4 linked regions of the Caenorhabditis elegans genome follow. Each later gene encodes a partner of the first gene's protein in a complex. Each region holds a gene or a part of one and is shown in the gene's direction. Other genes may lie near its edges. The genes, in order: cdk-8, sur-2, mdt-15 and mdt-4.

Evidence for each region.
Region 2: cdk-8 (region 1) and sur-2 share a complex: the UniProt entries of both Caenorhabditis elegans proteins name them as parts of the mediator complex.
Region 3: cdk-8 (region 1) and mdt-15 share a complex: the UniProt entries of both Caenorhabditis elegans proteins name them as parts of the mediator complex.
Region 4: cdk-8 (region 1) and mdt-4 share a complex: the UniProt entries of both Caenorhabditis elegans proteins name them as parts of the mediator complex.

What each region holds. Positions count from the first base shown.
Region 1 is NC_003279.8:8,700,647-8,706,331, forward strand, and holds cdk-8 (Cyclin-dependent kinase 8), read left to right. Parts: upstream 1-1,819; 5' UTR 1,820-1,915; coding exon 1,916-1,920; intron 1,921-1,969; coding exon 1,970-2,209; intron 2,210-2,333; coding exon 2,334-2,521; intron 2,522-2,572; coding exon 2,573-2,669; intron 2,670-2,718; coding exon 2,719-2,854; intron 2,855-2,900; coding exon 2,901-3,022; intron 3,023-3,072; coding exon 3,073-3,171; intron 3,172-3,552; coding exon 3,553-3,712; intron 3,713-3,760; coding exon 3,761-3,844; intron 3,845-3,898; coding exon 3,899-4,114; intron 4,115-4,162; coding exon 4,163-4,258; intron 4,259-4,708; coding exon 4,709-5,032; 3' UTR 5,033-5,179; downstream 5,180-5,685. Other genes in the region: tlf-1 (TATA box-binding protein-like 1), read right to left, coding at 113-228, 695-776, 881-991, 1,071-1,197, 1,274-1,311; cle-1 (Fibronectin type-III domain-containing protein), read right to left, coding at 5,340-5,408, 5,520-5,623, 5,673-5,685. UniProt on the Caenorhabditis elegans protein: Component of the Mediator complex, a coactivator involved in regulated gene transcription of nearly all RNA polymerase II-dependent genes.
Region 2 is NC_003279.8:14,784,754-14,789,442, reverse strand, and holds the start of sur-2 (Mediator of RNA polymerase II transcription subunit 23), read left to right. Parts: upstream 1-1,639; 5' UTR 1,640-1,646; coding exon 1,647-1,757; intron 1,758-1,822; coding exon 1,823-2,016; intron 2,017-2,100; coding exon 2,101-2,482; intron 2,483-3,480; coding exon 3,481-3,744; intron 3,745-3,799; coding exon 3,800-3,972; intron 3,973-4,689. Other genes in the region: F39B2.3 (15-oxoprostaglandin 13-reductase), read left to right, coding at 1-312, 396-478, 674-1,225. UniProt on the Caenorhabditis elegans protein: Component of the Mediator complex, a coactivator involved in regulated gene transcription of nearly all RNA polymerase II-dependent genes.
Region 3 is NC_003281.10:5,829,575-5,835,291, reverse strand, and holds mdt-15 (Mediator of RNA polymerase II transcription subunit 15), read left to right. Parts: upstream 1-1,546; 5' UTR 1,547-1,634; intron 1,635-1,778; 5' UTR 1,779-1,815; coding exon of another isoform or gene 1,816-1,908; 5' UTR 1,909-1,954; coding exon 1,955-2,010; intron 2,011-2,233; coding exon 2,234-2,457; intron 2,458-2,507; coding exon 2,508-2,998; intron 2,999-3,070; coding exon 3,071-4,225; intron 4,226-4,575; coding exon 4,576-4,893; intron 4,894-4,971; coding exon 4,972-5,070; 3' UTR 5,071-5,167; downstream 5,168-5,717. Other genes in the region: R12B2.6 (uncharacterized protein), read left to right, coding at 1,139-1,270; R12B2.13 (uncharacterized protein), read left to right, coding at 1,816-1,908. UniProt on the Caenorhabditis elegans protein: Component of the Mediator complex, a coactivator involved in regulated gene transcription of nearly all RNA polymerase II-dependent genes.
Region 4 is NC_003280.10:4,941,562-4,945,895, reverse strand, and holds mdt-4 (Mediator of RNA polymerase II transcription subunit 4), read left to right. Parts: upstream 1-1,946; 5' UTR 1,947-1,953; coding exon 1,954-2,031; intron 2,032-2,141; coding exon 2,142-2,396; intron 2,397-2,445; coding exon 2,446-2,700; intron 2,701-3,023; coding exon 3,024-3,260; intron 3,261-3,376; exon of another isoform or gene 3,377-3,543; coding exon 3,544-3,723; coding exon of another isoform or gene 3,724-3,733; 3' UTR 3,734-3,789; downstream 3,790-4,334. Other genes in the region: SURF6 homolog gldi-11, read left to right, coding at 107-160, 216-327, 372-1,231, 1,274-1,570, 1,621-1,716; ZK546.19 (uncharacterized protein), read right to left, coding at 3,578-3,733, 4,021-4,125. UniProt on the Caenorhabditis elegans protein: Component of the Mediator complex, a coactivator involved in the regulated transcription of nearly all RNA polymerase II-dependent genes.

The sequences.
Region 1 (5,685 bases):
ATAAGGTTTCCCAAAATTTCGTTGCTCTGATCAGAGATCAAACTACATAGGGACAGAAGGACACGCGCTTTATATATAGTAAATGATAGTAAATGATAATCATGAAACATACCTGTTGTTGTTGTCGATGTTGTGCTTGCGCATAGCTTATCTGTTGTTGTCCTTGCTGATTTTGTGCCATAAATACAGCTCGATTTTGTTGTTGAATTTGATTTGCTACTTGCTGTCCTGGAATTAAATTTAAAACTCTTTTCAGTTTTTCAAACAAGAATGTCTTATACAACACGTAATGTGAGACCCAACACACGAGTTTGAAATTTTCCAGAATTATTTTGATTGTTTTCGATTTTTTTTTGTTTGCAAAAACAGTGAAAATTTAATCAATATTTAATTTTTCCTTTTGGAAAATATGTGAAACTTCAATCGTTCAAAAATCAGAAATCGAGTTATTCGAAATGTAAATGTAGAGTTAATTTGTGTCTAGAATATTATTCCAATAAAACAATTAATTATTGCAGAAACATATACGCGATTCTAGATATACGTAGTACTTGTATTCTATTGATAAAACACACGGCATCCGGAGACCGTAAATAAATTGAAATAAAACCGATTTAAAAAAAAAAATATTTTGTTTTGAATAACATCAATTAAATATTGACTATCAATTTTCTAAATAAAATTAAAAACTTACTCTGATAACCTTGTTGAACGTTATGTCCTTGCACAGGTCGCATTTGAACACCAACTGCAACATTTCGACCCGCTATCGTTCCCTGCAATTTCTTTTGAAAAATTAAAATAGTTTCGTGAATTTGAAATTTTGTTTCAATTCTTAGAATTTGTTATGTTGATTGAGAAACTGATAATAAAGACTTACTGGATGTCCAAAGTTTACTTGCATTGGTTGACCACCAGGAACTTGGCGAACATAGGCAGGACCGACACCATTTTGCTGAATCTGACGTACTCCCGGGGGTAGTTGAACTATCTGAAATAAACTTTAATTCATAAATTCAAGCATATGTCTTGTCTCGAACAAAATTTGATTATATTCTTCAAAATCTCACCCTCTGCTGTCCGTTTCCGTCGTGATGAACCGTTCGAATTCCTGCCGTTTGCACATACGTGGCATTTTGTGATACTGCACCACCAGCTTGTGCAGGCATCACTTTTTGAACGTAAGTTCTGTAATATCTTTCGAGTGTTGTTATTGGATTTCTTGATCCAAATAACTAAAACTGAACAAGCTATTTTTTAATTCAACTCATACCTCTGGTTTCCCATCATTTGATGATCACCCATTTGCATTTGAACTGATCGGCCTGTAAATTTGAGTTGTTATCTTTTGAAAACTCGACAAATGCTAAAATCTGCAACAACGAGAGAGCGAGACTTCGTGAGAACATAAGAATTTTTTGATTTATGTTAGAAAATTCTGGAAAAGTTAAGAAATATTTATTTCCGACGACCAGTTTATTTTAAATTCAGACAAAATAATATCCAAAATACAATATTCGGTTTGTTCATTCTAAACTGATTTGAGGCAAACGCGGTTACAGGATCGATTGAAAGCGTTATTCGCTGCCAAACCAGAGTATCCTCTCTGAATGTGCATTCCTCCTAGTTATTTGTCTGTTAGACATGTGGCATTTATTGATTAGTTAATTTATTGATTTTTCAGTCTTAACGCTGTGTTCTTTGGGAAGAAGAAGTGACGTTCGGCGAGAATTTGCCACAAGAAAAAGTGCTAGAAAACGAAGACCGACGAAGATGTCGTGATATTTGGTGTTTAGTACGTGGGTGCAGTGTTTGCGGACTTCCTTACCGTACACTTCAATTTTAATTTTCGTTTTTCTGGACATCGATTTTCCTGGCATAAAGACTGAGTAGTATTCGCTGTAGTAACTGAAAAATGACGTAAGTTGGAAATTTGCACTATAAATAAATCAGAAAATCCCTATTGCAGATTAATGATTGATGAAAACTTCAAAAAACAATTGGCACAGCGTCGAGAGAGAGTAGAAGACCTTTTCTACTTTGAAAATTCAAAAGAAATCGGCAGAGGAACATATGGATTAGTTTATAAAGCAGTTCCGAAAAAGCAAAATGGACAATTTCCTAACAAAGAATACGCATTAAAAATGATTGAGGGACAAGGATTTTCAATGTCTGCATGCAGAGAAATTGCTCTATTCAGAGAATTAAGGTAATTTCACCGATTAAATAATATTAATTTAAAATGAAGATTGAATTCGAGATTTTCCCCTTTTTATAATCTAAAATTCGAAAAAAAAACTGAAGTAGATATTCAAAAAAAAAAAATGTTTCAGGCATCCGAATTTAATCTGTCTTCAACGTGTATTTCTTACCAACGAAAAAAAAGTCTGGCTTTTATTGGATTATGCTGAACACGATCTCTGGCACGTTATCAAACATCATCGAACAGCTAAAAGCAAGAAAGTCCCAATTATGGTGCCACGGAATATGGTCAAAAATATATTGTTTCAAATTTTATCAGGTTTGAAATTCTAAAATCCAATTTCACTCAACTGTATTTTAAAATATTCAGGAATGCATTATTTACATTCAAACTGGGTACTACATCGAGATCTCAAACCAGCAAATATTCTATTAATGGGTGATGGACCACCTGACATGAGAGGAAGGTTTGACTGAATTTGAAATTTATGCGATAATATGAAATAATAATTCTAGGGTAAAAATTGCTGATTTGGGATTTTCAAGAATCTATGCAAATCCTCTGAAACCGATGGCTGAATTAGATCCAGTAGTTGTCACATTCTGGTACAGAGCACCTGAATTGCTTCTCGGAGCAAAGCATTATACAAAGGTACGTTGAAAAATCTATTTAATAAGGAAAAAATGCATAATCTCAGGCTATTGACGTATGGGCTATCGGATGCATTTTTGCCGAACTTCTTACCGCTGAACCATTATTTTTCTGTAAAGAGGAAGACATCAAGGCACAAAATCCATATCACTATGATCAAGTGAAAAGGTACAGATTTTTTGGAAATTAAAATCATTAACTATTCGAAATTTTTAAAGAATATTCCATCTACTCGGATACCCATCAGATGCTGATTGGCCTGATATGAAGAAAATGCCGGATCATCAAAGACTTCTAAGCGATGCTAGAAATGAAGGGTAAATTATAATATAAAAGTTTTCAAATTTATTTTGATAGATTACTTAAAGGCACATTATTTTTTTCAGTAGCGTGAATGGCTTCAATGAAACCGAATTAGTCTCAAATTAGGAAATACCACAAAAAAAGGAAAAAAAAATCGCGAAAGAATTAAAAATCCAAGATTAAAAAACGAGTCGCTGATTGGTCGCAGTTCTCATTTAGGTGGCAATTCAAACAATTGAAAATCGCGATTTCAAAAGTTGGTTTTTCATTCTTGCGATTTTTTCCATTTTTTGTGGCATTTCCGAATTTGAGAGAATTTCGGATGTGTGAATTTGTATTGCAATATATAACGGCTTTAAAAAAGTTTTACATAATTATAAATAAACAATTTTCAGAACACCAATTCAAACATTTCCAAACAGCTTGCATCGATACTTTGATAAATGGAAAATCAATTCACAAAGCTCTCCATATAGATTACTTGTCAAATTGCTCACAGTTGACCCTACAAAACGTGTCAGTTGTGAAGAAGCGATGAATGATATTTATTTTAGAGTTCGTTTGAAATTTAATTTGAATAATATTTGAAAAAACCATTTGCAGAAAATGGAAAGACCACCAAGGGAGACTGACGACGTGTTCAATAAATATCCAATTCCATACGCGAAGAAGGAACAGCAGATGACGGTAAGGGCATCAATTGTTGAATACACTGCAAATGTTCCCAAGATTCTTTTACAGGTTGCACCAGATCAAGCACAACAACAGCATCAACAACAACAAGTTCAAATGCAACAACAACCACAAATGGGACAGCAACAAATGATGGGACAACCTCAAATGGTACAACCTCAGATGGGACAACCACCAATGGGTGGAGCACATCCCGGAGTTGTTGCTCCAGATGGACATCCACATCAAATGATGCAGCAACAACAGCATCCACAACAGCATCATGTCAGTTTTCTAAATATTCAGAATGAAAAGTTAACTTTTTCTGTTCAGATGCAATATCAAGGAATGCATGATCCAATGCAAGGTGGAATGGATGAAGGACCACAAGCAAAAATGATGAGAATGGGAAATGTTCCTGTTGGAAGAGTAAGCTTTTTAATTAGAAAATAATAATAAAAAACATAACATGGCTGAATATCATAATTAAGGATTTCAAATTTTCAAAGTTTTTGTAAATTTCCAAATTTCGCAAATTTTGATAGATTGATTGTTGAATTTGCAAATTTTTGTAAAATGATTTATAATTTTTTTGTTGGTAAATTGCCAAACTTTCAAAAATTGAAATTTCTTGAAATATTCGTTAATCGTTGCAAAATAGTAGATAGAAACTAATTTTGATAATTTTTGGTTTATTTCCAAATCATGGTAGATGAAGTAATTTTCACTTTTTACTGTAGGTAAAACTATTTTGAAAAATTGTTGAAAAGCGTTACTAGGATATTGGGTCATTTTAAGATCATAGGAGTGATTTTCATCATTTTTCCCTATGGCAATACTCCACTTTTCAAATTCTTATGTTCAATTCTACAATTGCAGTATGCACCGATGCCTCCTCCATACGGTGCTCCACAAGACTATCACCCGCAACAAGGTCCACCAATGGTGCAAATGATGCAACAACCGGGACCATCCGGCTACTATCCACAACGACCAGGACAACCAACAGGAGCAGTTCCTGGACCAGGACCTCAAGGATATATGAATCCACAAATGGGAATGCAAATGGGCATGCGTGCTCCAGGAGTTCCACCACAAGGATATATGCCTGGTCGTGGAATGGCTCCCCCTCAAATGGGACAACAGCAACCCGGTCCAAATCAACAGCAACAACAGCAATGGCAACAACAATATCATCGATAAACATTTCATTTGTAACATGTATGTATCTATAGTACTCACATCAAACTAATATTGCTCGTCATGTGTAATTTGAAGGCTTTGTAAATTGTATTTTTTTGAAATACGTTCACAATAAAATTGAGAAAATACGTGGCAGTTATCAAAATCAAATTCGGAAAGATTTTTTTGGTTTAATTCAAAATAGAAAACAAAGCAAAATGAGTGAATGAAGCCGTTTTTCAGGGGGGGTTCGAGATTTTTTCATCGTAAGGTTGGGGTATAATCATTTAAAACAATTTTAAAATTGAAATTCTATATTGGAAGTCGTTCATTTTTTGAAGTCGGATGTGATTCGATGCAAGCGGAGAATTCGGTCACCGTGATACTTGGACATGTTCTGCAAACATTTTAATTTTAAGATTTTAAAGCTGTTTGGAAATAATATTTCTTTTTCTCTGATGGTCTCACAACGATCGTTTGAACACTTCAATTTAAATAAAAAACGAACCTCAACACACAATACCACTAATTTATTTTCACATTTTTCGGATCCACTTGATTGGAAAATGCTTGTATTCGATGAGATGTGACCTGCCAAAGAAGTCAGAGATGCTGCAATAAATTATATTCTAAAAATTGTCTTCAATTTCTCAAAAATTACAATCGGCTCTTCT
Region 2 (4,689 bases), 6.1 Mb from region 1:
TAGTCCGACGATTCGGAGCACCTGATGTCATAGAAGCCGTCGAGAGTGATATGCCCAGGCTTGAAAAAAACCAGGTTCTCGTTCGGAATTACGCTGCCGGTGTCAATCCAGTTGACACATATATTCGTGCTGGTCAGTATGGAAAACTACCAAATCTTCCATATGTACCAGGAAAAGATGGAGCCGGATTCGTCGAACTTGTGGGAGAAAGCGTTAAAAATGTGAAAGTCGGCGATCGAGTCTGGTATGGATCAGAAGCGGACAGTACAGCAGAGTATGTTGCGGTGAATCGACCATTCGAGTTGCCGGAAGGTAAAAGAATCATTGCGCAACGGGTTACTGTAGCTAGTTGCCCGCGTGGCGAGACCTAAGATATAGCTAAAATCTCATTTCAGGAGTTTCGTTTGAGGAAGGAGCTTCTCTCGGAGTGCCTTATCTTACCGCTTATCGTGCATTGTTTCATCTTGCTGGTGCAAAGGTTTGACTTTTATTTATTATTAAATGGTTCATAGAGAATATTAAAATTTTGGCAAAAACGTATCAAAATTAGGAGGCAAAATCAATACAAATCAATCTTTACAAAGCCAACTTGACCATCTGTTCCATCTCAAACAAGGGGCGGTCTAAAATACGACCATCTGCTGTTCCCTCCCAAAACTAATTCTCTTCTCAGACTGGCGACGTTATACTTGTACACGGAGCATCTGGTGGAGTGGGAAGTGCACTGATGCAGCTGGCTGCCTGGAGGAACATTGAAGCTGTTGGCACTGCTGGATCTGCTGATGGGATCCGGTTCGTGAAGAGTCTTGGTGCACGGAATGTCTATAATCATTCGGATAAGCAATATGTGTCGAAAATGAAAAATGATTATCCAGGAGGCTTCAACCACATTTTCGAAATGGCTGCTCACACAAATCTGAACACGGACCTCGGATTGCTGGCTCCACGTGGTAGAGTTGCAGTAATTGGAAATCGCGCCGAGACCACGATCAACGCAAGACAACTTATGGTTACAGAAGGAGCTGTTTACGGTGTAGCATTGGGAATGTCTTCCGAGGCTGAGCTCTTGGACTTTGGCATCAACATTGTCTCATTCTTGAAGGAAACCGAGTTTCGTCCACTTATAAACAAATTGTATCGTCTCGAGCAATTAGGACTGGCTCATGAGGAAATTATGAACAACAAGGGAGCGAAAGGAAATCTTGTAGTGCAAATCGAACATTAATTCATTATTTTAACACGCCATTTAAAGGAATGTAAATGAGAATAAACTGTACTTTTTATGAAGATATGAAAAAAATAAATTAATCTAGATTTCAGCTTCTTGAAACTGATTTTCAACAGAAATTTGGCAAATCAGTCCAAATGTCAGTTTACCTACAATAAAAGTCAAGATATTTAAATGTGTGAAATGTATTATATATGTAGTAGTTTTTTCGCAGAACTCTGGTAGAGTTCAAATCCGCAGAATATGCGTGAACGAAGAGACCACACACCAAGCGCGCTCTATTGTCACGCGTGAGAGAGAAGAGGCGCAGTAATATCTTTCTCAAACAATGCGTTTTTAATTTTTATCAACCTATTTTGTTTCAATTTATTATTTTAACATTTTTCTTTTGAAAATTATTACATTTTCAGGCAACAAAATGACGGATAAACCTGGTTCCGCAGAAGATACAATTGAAATGGATGACACGTGCTCTCCGCAATTTGTTCAGGAAGTCAATCGAATAAAGAGTCAAATTAAAAGTCTCGTTGTGAGTTTTTTAAATCAAAAATAACGCTTAAAAAATTAAACATAACTCATAAAAATATATTCTAGGAAGAAAACCACACAAGAAAATTTTTTCGACCTCTTACGTCGAATATTGGCGACGAGACGGCGATTTTACGGATTCAATTCAATAATATGATGAGTAAAATGGAAGAAAAAGAAAAACAATCTTTAGTGAAAGAGCTAATAAAAATGGTTCATCACGTGGCGGAAAAGAACTCTCCTGATCGAGTTTTTGTTGGGTGAGAATTTAAAAATTCGAAAAAAAAACAATTTTAACAGTTCTTTTGCATATAATCAGAGGTTTTAACAGTGTTTTATTCCAGAACAAACTACGAACGTGTCGTAGATCAGCTTCTCCGATATGCTCATCAAAAAGGTGCGATTTCAACGAATCTGTGCGCAGAAGGACTCATAATGACTTCGGACTTCCGATTATGCAGTAGAATATGCCAAGAAAAATGGAAATTCATCAATGATTGCATTCCAAAAATCGATTACAAAGGAATTCGGAATATCCTCCGATATATTCTGGAATCACAGCTCCGTCGCCTACCGTATTCACTATCTCCGGAGCAAGTAAACGAAATCCGCATTGTTGAGAATGTAATACTGCATATTGTGGATAGAGACTCCAATTTGATGCCTCCACTCATCACATTATCAGAAATTATGAGAGGAATGCCGAAACAGGCGCTTATGCTGCCGGTGAGGGGAAAATTTTAAAAAAAATTGCTGAAAATATAAAGACAATGTAAAAATTTAGATTTGTTAATTTTTTTTTTCGGCAAAAAAAACACAAAAAAAAGATCTCTCTACATTCAAAAAGTCGAATTTTTTTTTGGCGGAAACCAAAAAAAAGTTCGACCATTCTCGCAAAGTTTCTAATTTCTGTGCATTTAGTTTTTGAGTTACAGAAAGTAAACCAAATTGAATACTACAGAAGTTTTAAAAAACTTAATTTAAGCCATAAAAAAATGACGGGAAATTTCTTCTGATTTCTAAATTTTCAGTTTCTCAACATTTTATTTGAAGTTTTTACCAAGGGTGGGCGGCAATTACCGTTCGGCAAATCGGGCAATTTGCTGGTTTACCGATTTGCCGTTTACCGGATGTTAAATTTTCCGCAAATGTTTTGAGGGATTTTTTCATAAGACTGAAACACTTAAAACTGTGACTTTTTGGGCTGTTTTTCCCTTTTCCTCAGATATTTTTATAGAATTTGCTTACTTTTCAAAAAAGATGTAGAAAAAAACATTCAAACACTCACAGGATGCGTACAATTCTGAAATTCCCAAAAAATTAGTGCGAAACCACAATTTGCCAAAAATTTTCGACAATTGGTATTTTTCCGGTAAATTCGGAAATTTGCCGGTTTCACGATTTGCCGGAAATTTCAATTCCGGCACTTTGCCGATTTGCCGAAAAAATCGTTTGCCACACACCCCTGATTTGTATGCTGATTGACTGAAAAATCACCTTCATCGACGAAAAATTATCTGAATGTACAAAACCACAATTTGCCGAAAAATTTCGGCAATTTGCTGATTTTCCGGCAATCTGCTGATTTGCCGGAAATTTCAATTCCGGCAATTGTGGATTTTTTTTGCAAAAAGCGGCTCGAGATGAGTCACGGATCGACCCATCTCGATTCATTTACCAAGCCTATATTTCTTAAGATTAAATTAAAATGCCAAATATTACAGAGACTAACGGAGAAACTGGCAAGCTTATCCGTCCATTTCCGACCAATTGCCGACCTATCCCACGTGTGTGGCCGTGGATTCGTTTACCCCATTCCACTACATCCATCATTCTATCCATTAACATCGTGTTGGGAAGAACATGGATTAAATGCCAGTAATACAATTGTTCAACCTCATCATACACTTCCATATCGTCCTGAACATACTTCTACATACTTGTACACCCTCTACATGATTCTTCGTCAGCCATTGGGAAAGGACTCGGTATGAAATTGAGAATATATATATTTTAAATAACTTATCCCGAATTAAGTTTCAGCTTCATCCTCCGAGCAAAACGAAGACAAAGACAAATTGGGAAATGTTGATATCTGTAATGATATGTGAATCAATGGCCGAAGCAGAATCTCTACCGGAAACTGAGCCAATTCCACGATATCAATGGGACAATATTGTTAATATTGTTATTTATGGGATTACACAACATTTATTGTTAGTGTATTTCAAATTTTTCGATTTTGCGAAACCCGAAAAACAAAAATATTCCTTTTTTCAATTATTTTTCGCAAATTCAGAAAAAAAATCCAATTTTTTACTTTTAAAGTAAAATTCTAAAAAATCCGAACATTTCGATTTCCGACATTCAGGAAAGCTAAATTTTTGGGTTTTTCAAAGAGAAAATCGAAAAAAAAAAGATTCTATTTGAAAAACACAAGTTTTGAATTTCAAAATTGTCTTGAAAAGCCAGAAATTTGAAAGTAGAGCTAATAATTTAATTTAAAAACTAAGCGTTTCAATTTTTGGTTTATTTCTGAAGGAAAAAAAAATCCAAAATCAAAATTCTTAGGATAAAAGCTATAATTTAAACAAAATCTTTTGAAAATTCTTCAAAAATCTGAATGTTCTTGACTTTTAGACCTTCAAAAAAAAATCGAAAAACCAAAATATTTCTTTTTTTCAATTATTCTTAGAAAATTCCAGAAAAATCCAATTTTTCACTTCTTAAATAAAATTTCGAAAAAAAATACCGAAACTTAAGATTTTCTTGAAATGTTTTTAAAAAAAAATTTACCAAAAAACAAAACTTTAGATTTCCGACATTTAGAAAAATTGAAAACCAAAATCTTTAATTTTTCTTGTAACTTTTTCTTTTAAAAAATCCAAAAAGAGAAGTTTTGGATAATAGATATTCTCGAAAATCTGGAAAAA
Region 3 (5,717 bases), on another chromosome or scaffold:
TAAATGATTTGCTCCCCCTTTTCGTTTTCTTTTTCTTCTTGCGTTGATTTTTCACATTGTTATTGCACTTGGCAGTGTCGTATTTTTGTGTTTTTATTTTGACCCATAAGTTCTAATACGATATCTTAGGCTCCCAGCTTGACTGGTGCTCTCATAATTTGAAATCAGAAGTTTTTCTTTTAAAAATTGAAAAAAGTGCACATTTTTCTTAAATTTTGAAGCTAAATATTTGAAATCTTCCACACTTCTAGTTTAATTCTCGATAACATCTGATAATTCTTTCCAAAATTTCAGGTCGAGCTGGCAAACATGGAAAAGCAATCACATTCCTCACACCTGACGATACTGCCGTCTATTTCGACTTGAAGCAGGTAAAAATTGTGGACGGACACCTTCCAACACACGTGTAATTGGTTTACTTTCCAGTGCGCGCTAACCGAATTCCCTTTCGTCTTTTTTCGCGCGCGCTCTCCGGCACTTCACACATGTGTTGTGGTGCTGGAAGGTTGCCTAATTTCTTGCACTTGAGCTGGTTTTCTCTCTGCGACGAAAATGGATTTTTTGTTAGGCGGAAAACGGAATTCGTTTTTTTTGTAAGAAAATGAAAATTATTCGGGAATGATAAGACCGGTAAAACGTTCCATAAGATAAGAACATATTTCAGCGTTCTAGAGCAATTTAAAACAAAAAAATGTTGTGATTAATTCTACAATTTTTGCGCCGAAAATACGGTACCCGGTCTCGACACGACAGAAATTGTTGTTAACTGCGAAAGGTCTGCGTCTTTAAAGAGTTCGGTAACTTCAAATTTTCATTACTGCGGTAATTTCAAATTTTCATTTCATTGAGTTTTCCCATAAATTCATAAATATATTTTTTTATCGAAAAACAATGAAAAATCTTTAAAAATTCGACTGAGATTAAAGTTTGGAGTTACAGTACTCTTTAAAGGCGCACACCTTTCACATTCATCAAGAGAGTGTCGTGTCGAGACCGGGTGCCGTTTTTTTGTCAAAAACTAGAAGAATTACGTTGACGCGAAATGTATGTCCCCTTGCTTTACAAAATTTTATACACAAAACATTTAATTTTTAAATTTTCCAGGTTCTCGTTGAATTGCCTGCGTCGTTATGCCCGAATGGACTCGCGGAACATGATGCTGCACGGAGCAAACCTAGACAATTCACATCTTGATGTGAAAGTGAACTTTTTGTTTGAAAATTTCAAACATTTTTCAGTTTTTTTAAAACTTACCAAATCTTCCAAATAATACTAACCACCACATATCTTCCATTAAAAAATTTAACGTTTTTCAGCGTTCTGAATATCTTATCTCTCTGGTCCATTTCTCCTACAGAATATCTCTATCTCATAATTGCCTATTTTTATTTGTTTTTCTTTCTTAATTTCAAGCGTTTGGGATATCTTATCTCTCTCAACTCCGTTTATTTTTTTCTCCTTATCCGTCTCCTTATCCGTATTCCTTTATTATTAATCTCTTCTTCGTTCAACATCGCTAAATATTTTTTTCAATTCCTAATTTCAGGTCAAACCGGGGAACGAATCAAAAAGTGATTTTGCCGTCGGCGATCCGAAAATTTTGCCGGCTCGTCGACTATTGACGAGAACAAGAGGTGAGAAAATGGGGAACTTTTTGATATTTCCATCCTGATCTTTTGTGAATTGAAAGTTGAATCACAATAGATCGATGCACCATAATACAAAAAGTGACAATTTTTCCCCACTTTCAACCATCCATTATTCTATTTCTTTTGCAGGAATCGTCGTTATTTTTCGTTTGCCGCGTTCGTCGTTTTGATTTGTTCTTCATTTTCCTTCTTGTCGATAATTGTGTGTGAATCAAGACGCTCAGAAAGCCGCCGCCACGTTGACGTCGACGGTTGTTGAATCGCTTGCAAAAGCAACATTTCAAAAACAAGAGCAGAGTAGAAAGATGAGCGAAGAGGATTGGCCTTCGCCGAAATTTCGAGAGCATGTTATTCAGAGACTGTAAGCTTTTTTTAAAGGAATATTTTTTTGATAACCGAGAAAACATTTTAAAAAATTTTTTTTTTGTTGAAAATTTCCAAAAATTTCCATTCAAAATTTTGATAAATTCCCAAGTATTTGTAAATTATAAACCATAGGAGCTGATGTCACAAATGTATCCAGGCTGTACTCTTTTTAAAAATGAAAAAAAAATCCCGAAATATAAAAATTTTCCAATTTTCAGTGAGCCTGAGTTGGCGAGAAACCGGCAGAATGCCCCAAATTTACCAGTACCCGGTGACGCGAGGCAGGTCGAAGAATATGTGTTCGCAAAGTGTATGTCGAAGGACGAATATATGAGGACGATCGCAAAAGTGATTAATGCTATCAATTGTAATAGTAAATCAGCGGCAGTGCCTTCCGTGTTACAACCATCACAGTTTCATAGTCCGCCGTGTACGACAGCAGGTAACTTTTTGTAGTTTTTTGTGGCAACGAAAATCTAAAATTTCAATTAGCTCTATTAGGAAACACTCCGGCTGGCGGAACACCCGGATATCGAGCTCCTGTGCCTCCAGATCCACAACCAACATCAGCTCAGGCAAGAAATCCACCTGTTACCGTAGCAACAACACAGGCATCAACAACTCCATCAGCACCAAATCCGCCAGGAGGATTGCCTGCTCCATCAGCTTCTGCCACTGCTGCTGTTGCCGCCGCGGTTGCTTCATTTCCATCACCAGATACAAGTATTCGTCCAGGTGGACAGATCACTCCAGGATCACAGGCACCCGGTGGAGGTCCGACGCCGGCACCAAATGTTCCATTCCCAAATGGAAGCAGCCAGATGAATGGTGGACCAGCAATGGGTCAGCCACCACCGCAAATGGGTGCTCCAAATATGGGTGGACCACCGAATGGATACGGTGGTTACGGTATGATGAATGGACCACCTGGTAGTGGTGCTCCAATGGGTGGAAATCCGTACAATCAGCAGATTAAAAAGGATGTGAGTTTATTTTTCAAATGTATTTTTTTTTAATCTGCTAATTTTTCAATTTTTGATTAATTTTTTTTTCAGATGGATCAAGCTCGTCCTTGGGATCCTTCAGCACATATGTATCAACAACAACCACAATGGGGTGCAATGCCACCACAACAACCACATGGATATCCTGGAAGACCAATGAACGGTCAAGGAGCCACTCCAACCGGTCCTTCATCAGTTCTTGAATCACTTATCAATCAGCCTCAACAATATCCAGGACATCACAATCAGATGGGCCCACCTGGAGATCGAAATGTTGCTGCTCAACGTGCAGCTGCCCAACAACAGCAACAACAACAACAACAGCAGCAACAGCAACGACCCGGAATGGTTCCAAACCAGGGAATGATGAGTTCCGAGGATCAAACCGTGTATTCTGCGAAATTGAGAAATATGCGTGGAAGCTGCGACAGTTTGAGAACACGAGCAAGGCAATGCAGACATGAGGGTAACCATGAAGCTGCTCACAAGCTTGAGGTTATGCTCAGTGTGCTCGAAGGAAAACGTGTGGTTAGCCTTGAATACTTGAACCATTTGGAGATGTGGATTGCCAGAAAGCAAGACTTCTTGAATATTGCTCCAATGTCACAGAATCAGAATCATATGGGAATGAACGATCCGATGATGAACGGTGAACATGCTATGTTGGGTAATGGTCAGGTGCCAAATCCCTACGGAGGACATCCAGGTTATGGACATCAGCAGTATATGGGACCTCCACCACCACATATGCAAATGCATCAACCACCAATGTGGCATCAACAGCAACACCAACAGCAGCAACGAATGATGCCACAGGATCATATGATGATGCAGGGTGGAGGTGGTCCAGTTCATGGAATGTATCGTGGAGATATGGGACACGATCCGATGACATCACCAGTCAACAATCATCGTCATGCTCCATACCCGAATCCTGCAGCGATGAGAAACAATATGAGAATGCCAAATGGTCCTGGACCAATTGGAAGAGATCGTAATTCGATGAGTGGATCAAGTATGTCAGGTCCAAGTTCTGGAGCCCCTTCAATGAATCCAATGGGTACACCGAATCAAAAAATGGGAACACCTGGATCAATGGGTGGAATGTCAGGACTTGATGATCTGAACTATGATGATTTCCTTCCAAACCCAACGCCGATTGATGCACTTCAGCCAACATTGCACGTCGGGCAGAATTCGATGAATGTAAGTTTTATATTAAAAATTGAGTTTCTCAGCTTTCAAAAAAAAAAAACACACAAAGTATCCTCAAATGATTTTTGAAAAAAGTGAAAAATAATTGTGTCGCCGAAAACACGAAAAAAAAAATCGAAAAACGAAAAACCTCTGATCTCAAACAGGGACACCAAAAACATTTTAGACCAAAAACAAAACATTTTCGTATTTTTTCTTCTCCCGACTAAAAATCAACATTTTCGCAATTCAGTTTTTTTTTCTTTTTTTGGTCCGAAAAAACCAACAAGATTACCAAAAAATCTATTTTTACAAAAAAAAAATCAACAGCCAATCAATAATCTCAATCAATAAATATTCAGGCTGGTCCACCAGTTCAACGATCAAATCTCAATGAAACAGCAAGAAAGGAACTTCAAATCCTTGATGCTCGATTCGAGATTGATCCAAACCATCAACGTCATGATGCCAATCATATCATTGTCGTCTGTAAAATCCGTAATCAACAGTTCCCACCACTTCGACTCGTTGTTCCAACCACTTATCCAGCTGGAAATGTGACTGTAGATCGAGCAGTCATTGATTTGGATGCATATTTGTATGATGATCTACAAAATTCAGTATATGAGAGATTATCACGACCCGGTCTTTCGTCAATTACTGACTATTTGAATGCTTGGGTAAGTTCTTTCGCTGAGAAAGGGAAATTTATGAAAATTGCACTTCAAATTGAATTTTAAATTTATAATTTTCTACAGGAAGAACAAGTGAATCAATACCAAAACCAGACAAGCGGTGGTCTAGACGTCGCTTTCAACGTGGGCAACGATTTCTTCTACGATAATCTTAACTTGTAAGTTAGGTAGAGTGCATTAAGTTTCTTTTTTTGTGCCTGCTCACTAAAAGTTTTGTTATTCAATGTTTATTTTTGTAAAATAATAAAAAATATGAAAAACATTATAAAATAAAGTTGGAAGTGAAAAAATTCCGGAAAGTTTTAATTTTTGTAATAACTTTACAAAAAGTATTACTCAAACGCGAAAGTTTACGATTTTTCACCAAAATTACGGTAACCGGTCTCGACACGAAAAATGTTGGTCAAATGCGAAAATATGTGCGTCTTTAAAGAGTACTCTATTTTTTCATCGTTTTTTGATTAAAAAAATATATACCTGTCAATCTAAAAAAAATACCCGAATTTGACAATGAAAACACAATTAATATGATTTGAAACATGATTTTAAAATTACAGTACTCTTTAAAAACGCAAACCTTTAAAAAAATTAGAAGACAGTTTTTTTTAAACAAACTGTTTTCTTCTCAATCAATGTTTTCTAATTTTCAGGTCAAATCCGTTCTAAACTCCGCCTCGTCTGAATTGAATTGCTCAGTTGCACAAAACCTGTACAAAAAAGAAAATCGAGTCTTCGTGGAATGGATTCAGTTGTTGTTGTCCTCTATAAATGATTGTTTTGCCTCCTCCTCCTATCATCAGCTTGCCCTT
Region 4 (4,334 bases), on another chromosome or scaffold:
GAGAAGCGCGTGTTGTTTAGTACAACTTTTTTCGTTTCATTTTTTTCTTAATATTTTAAAAATTAGAGGATTCTCTTTATCAAAATACTAATTTTAAGCATTTTAGATGGCAGAAACATTAGAAGCTGTAGAAGATGCAGTGGACATTCTTGAAAAAGAGGTAGCGTACACACATCCTCGAAAAGTGGCCGAGAAACAAAACATTTTAATTTCAGATGCTCTCCTTCTGCAACCTGATTCCAGTTAACTCTTGGGGATTTGATGATGATGTCAAAGAATCATTGAAGATGCGAAAACACAGTTTGGTTAATCGACAACTCAGCAAAAGTAATTTATTGATAAATTTCTTTAAAATTCTGTATGTTTTTCAGAGGAAAGAAAGTCAATGTCTGCACAACAGAAACAACATCTGGCGAAAGGCTTAGGATTGGTTCCAAACACTGTTCAAGAAGTCCTCGAGTGGATGTCTAAAAGCAAGCAGCATTCGAAAGTGCAACCACAAAAGGTTGTTGCACCGGTGAAGAGACCAGCGGATCAGAACAAGAATAAAGAAAAAGTAGTGAAGAAAGACCAGAAAAAGCAAGATAAGAAAGCTGATTCTGATTCAGAAGAGGATGATTCATCTGACGACGAGGAGAAAGAAGAAACAGACGAGCCAGTTGCTAAGAAGCAAAAGAAAGAAGAATCTTCAGATGATGATGAAGACAGTGAAGATGGAGAAGAGCCTGAAGGAAATAATGGAGCTGTAGAGGCTGAGGACAGCGATTCAACGGACGAAGAAGAAGAAACACCATCTAAACCCAACAAAACCGTAGCACAATCTACTCTGAAATCGAATGGAAAAATTGACAAGGAGATTCAAAAGTTGGAAGACGATGAAGACAATGAATCCCCCGAAATCAGACGTCAAATCGCTTTGCTGAGACTGCAGAAAAAGCTGAAGGAAATGAAAGTTGAGCGGAAAGGAAAAGGACCGGCGAAGGTAACATCAGCGATGGCTGAAAAAATGGCAGAGGAGAAGCGTTTGAAAAGACGGGAGAGCAAGCTGAAGCTGAAACAAAGAAGAGCAGAGGAGAAGAAAGGAAAAGAGGCAGCAGCTCAAGTGAAGAAAGAGACTGTTGAAAGCACAGAAAATGGCAATGAGCCTGTCGAGAAGCAGAAATCTGGAATTTCATTCAATAATCTCAAGTTTGAAATCAAAGAAGACAAGCAGAGGGGCAAGAAACAAAGAGTGAGTAAAAATATTTTTATCTGAAATATCTGAAATTTTCAGACCGCCAAAAAAGATCGAGCTCTTAAACTTACCGGACGTGACTATAAATCACTTATCGCTAAAGTCGAAGAGACAAAAGCAACAATTGCCAAAGTTCGCGAAGCTGATCCACATAAGGCTACCATCATGGAAGATGAGCTAAAGTGGGAGAAAACACTGAAAAGAGCAGCTGGTGGAAAAGTGAAAGATAATTTGGGAATGCTCAAGAAGGCTTTGGTGAAGAAGAATAAGATGAAGGATAGAAGAAAGCAGAAATGGGAGAACCGAGAGAATAAGACGGAGGGAGAGAAGCAAACGGTATGTTGATTGGTAGAAAATCCTTTAAGATTTGAATTTTTATTTTTCAGAAGCAAGACAAGAGAAAGAAGAATCTCCAGAAGCGCATCGATGACGTCAAGAAGAGAAAGATGAACAAGTTGAGAAACAAGGGAAGAATCCTCTAAACAACACACATTTATCCGCTTTTAATTTCTCGTTGTTGAACATTTTTTTGTTAATTTTTACTGTTAACTTTTTTCTTTAAATCTGTGGCCTGTTGTTAAGTTTTTAAGTTTTCAAATTATACTAAATTCTTTGAAAAATATTCTCTTTTTTTTTGAAACTTGTGCCGTTGTTTCGGTAATTAATTATTTTAAAAGTTGTTAATGTATGTTCGATGGTTGTATTGTTCTAGATCTCAAATGGCAGAAACAGATGAACGAAGTCTACGGGATTTGCTCCTGGAATCTGCAGATGATTTGGAGCATATTGTTAAAATGGTACGTTCTAAAAAAATTTGAAACAATATTATAGTTTATTTTAAAATTACTTTTTACTGTGAGTTCATCTTATAGAATTCATGAACCCACATAATCAATTATTGTTTCAGATCGTCGATACACTCATCAATCGGGACAAAAGTGTTATGCTGAAAAATGGAGAAACCGTTACGAACATTATCAAGCTGTTTGACTCAAAACAGGATAGCATAAAGACTTTGCTGAAGAGGGTTCCTGAGTTTCAAGAACGAGAGCAGCTCATTCGGACGCTTGAAGCCCACGTGGAGAAACGAGACGAAGTTATTCAACAACTTGAAACGAATTTGAAGTCATGTGAGGTGGCTCTGACGCGATCTTGTTTTCATGTAAATTTTGTTGGAAACAAAGACTTTTTTCGAAATACGTTTATTTCAGGCAAACCAGAAGCTCAAGCAAATGAAAGAAGCTGAATTGAGACCAGTCAATAGTGAGATGCTCATCAAACTGGCTCATCAGATCAGTAAGCACAACTCCGTATCTGCACCACTCACTTGGCAAATGGGAGATCCATCGCGTCCGTTTCCTCAGGAACACGAATTTCGAGCTGGTCACCTATTGAATTCAAAAGTTCAGAGCACTGGACCTCAGCTTTTACCCGGAAAGAACGTCGCTCAGAGGCCGCTTATTACGGTATGTTTATGGAAACTTGTTGAAATGTGAATCCTCACCTGAAATATTTGATAAATGCATTTATAAATGCATTTATATAAATGCAATACTTCTAATGTTTTCTACGTTAATCTGAAATTCTTTTCACACTGTAACCGAACAGCTGTGAATCACGTGATTTATGTCTTATCTTCTTACATTATCTAACAGTCATTCCTTCTAATGATCAAATTATGAGTGATAAGAAATATTCAGTTCATATTGTGATCTCTTTCCTTCTACGTTATTCGTAGTAAATTTTATAAATAAAATTAAGATTCAACGTTCAATCAATATTATTTCAGTCTCCATCCGCATCCTCATCCAACGGTGGAACAGCTCCAATTCGAACTGTCGGCACTCCTCTTATTAATTCTGCTCCGACTGGAGATTTCAGTCCACGAACTGGTTTTGGCACCGACGAGCCTCCACCGATTCAACAGCAAGTACTCCGTGGAGCCACTCCAAATGAAAAGCAATGGCAGAATCCGGGAGTTTCAGGAGCCACCTCAACGCAATCCCCTTACAACCGTGTCTCGCAGGTCAGTGCAAACCGAGTGTACATAGACAGTGTTACTGGCGGCCCGCAAATGATGCACGGGTGGCGCAGTGGTAACGCGTTTGCCCGTTGTTCAGCTGTCCACCAGTTCGATTCTCAATGCACACAGAAAGTCGAGATTGCCGGCTTCAAAGGCTTTATCGTTGATTACGTGTGCTATAACAACGCCATAGGTATCATTCTTCGTCTTCTTAGGCGCGGAACATCTAAATATGGCTACATTTATCTGCTATTTTATAATTTTCCAATAAATAACATATTTTCAGAGTCCTTCTTCCTCGCCAAACGTGAAGCTGAAAATTACTGGACTTCCGAATCGTCCAGGAGGTATCGATCAAGTTCAAGATGTGCGGGATGTCGAACAAATGTCGTCGGACAGCTCCAACTCGTCAGATAGTTCAGATGATGAAGGCGCATCGAAAAAGACTGGCAGTAGCAATAAATAATGAAAGATCTCTGTAAATTCTGGTATTTTACTTATTGTACGTTGATAAATAAACACAATTTTCTATATATCTTGTGTTTAACAGTGACACTAACTGATTGCATGTGGTTCAGTGTCCACGCCATGTTTACCGCTATGCCAGCTGCCTTTCTTTCTTTCTTTATGTCCTCTAATCTATTTACTCCTTGAACTTTTTTTTCAACAATTCTAGTAACTAATTATATTTAGAAATATGCCAAATTTTGGAATATACCTAAGTTAGCTTTTGATTCAAATCTTATTTTAAAAAAACACTCACCCCATCTAGAGACGCAGAAACGAAAGGGACCACCCATGACAAGAGAGATGCGGAGTACGTGAAAAGATGCACAAAACATGTTGCAGTGAAAGTGTTGTTAGCCATCACTTTTTTTTGTTTTTGTGGGCTCAAATCAGTTTGAAGAAAAGTTGAAGTTGTAAAATTTCGCCTCCTTTCGTTTTTTATGTCATTTTATATTACTTGCCCTTTGGTAATAGATAAGAAATTATCTCTCCCATCAGACACATTCCCACACATCTTCTTTTGACTTGCCTCCACACAACTAATCTAGATATAGATGGGCGGTCCTGATT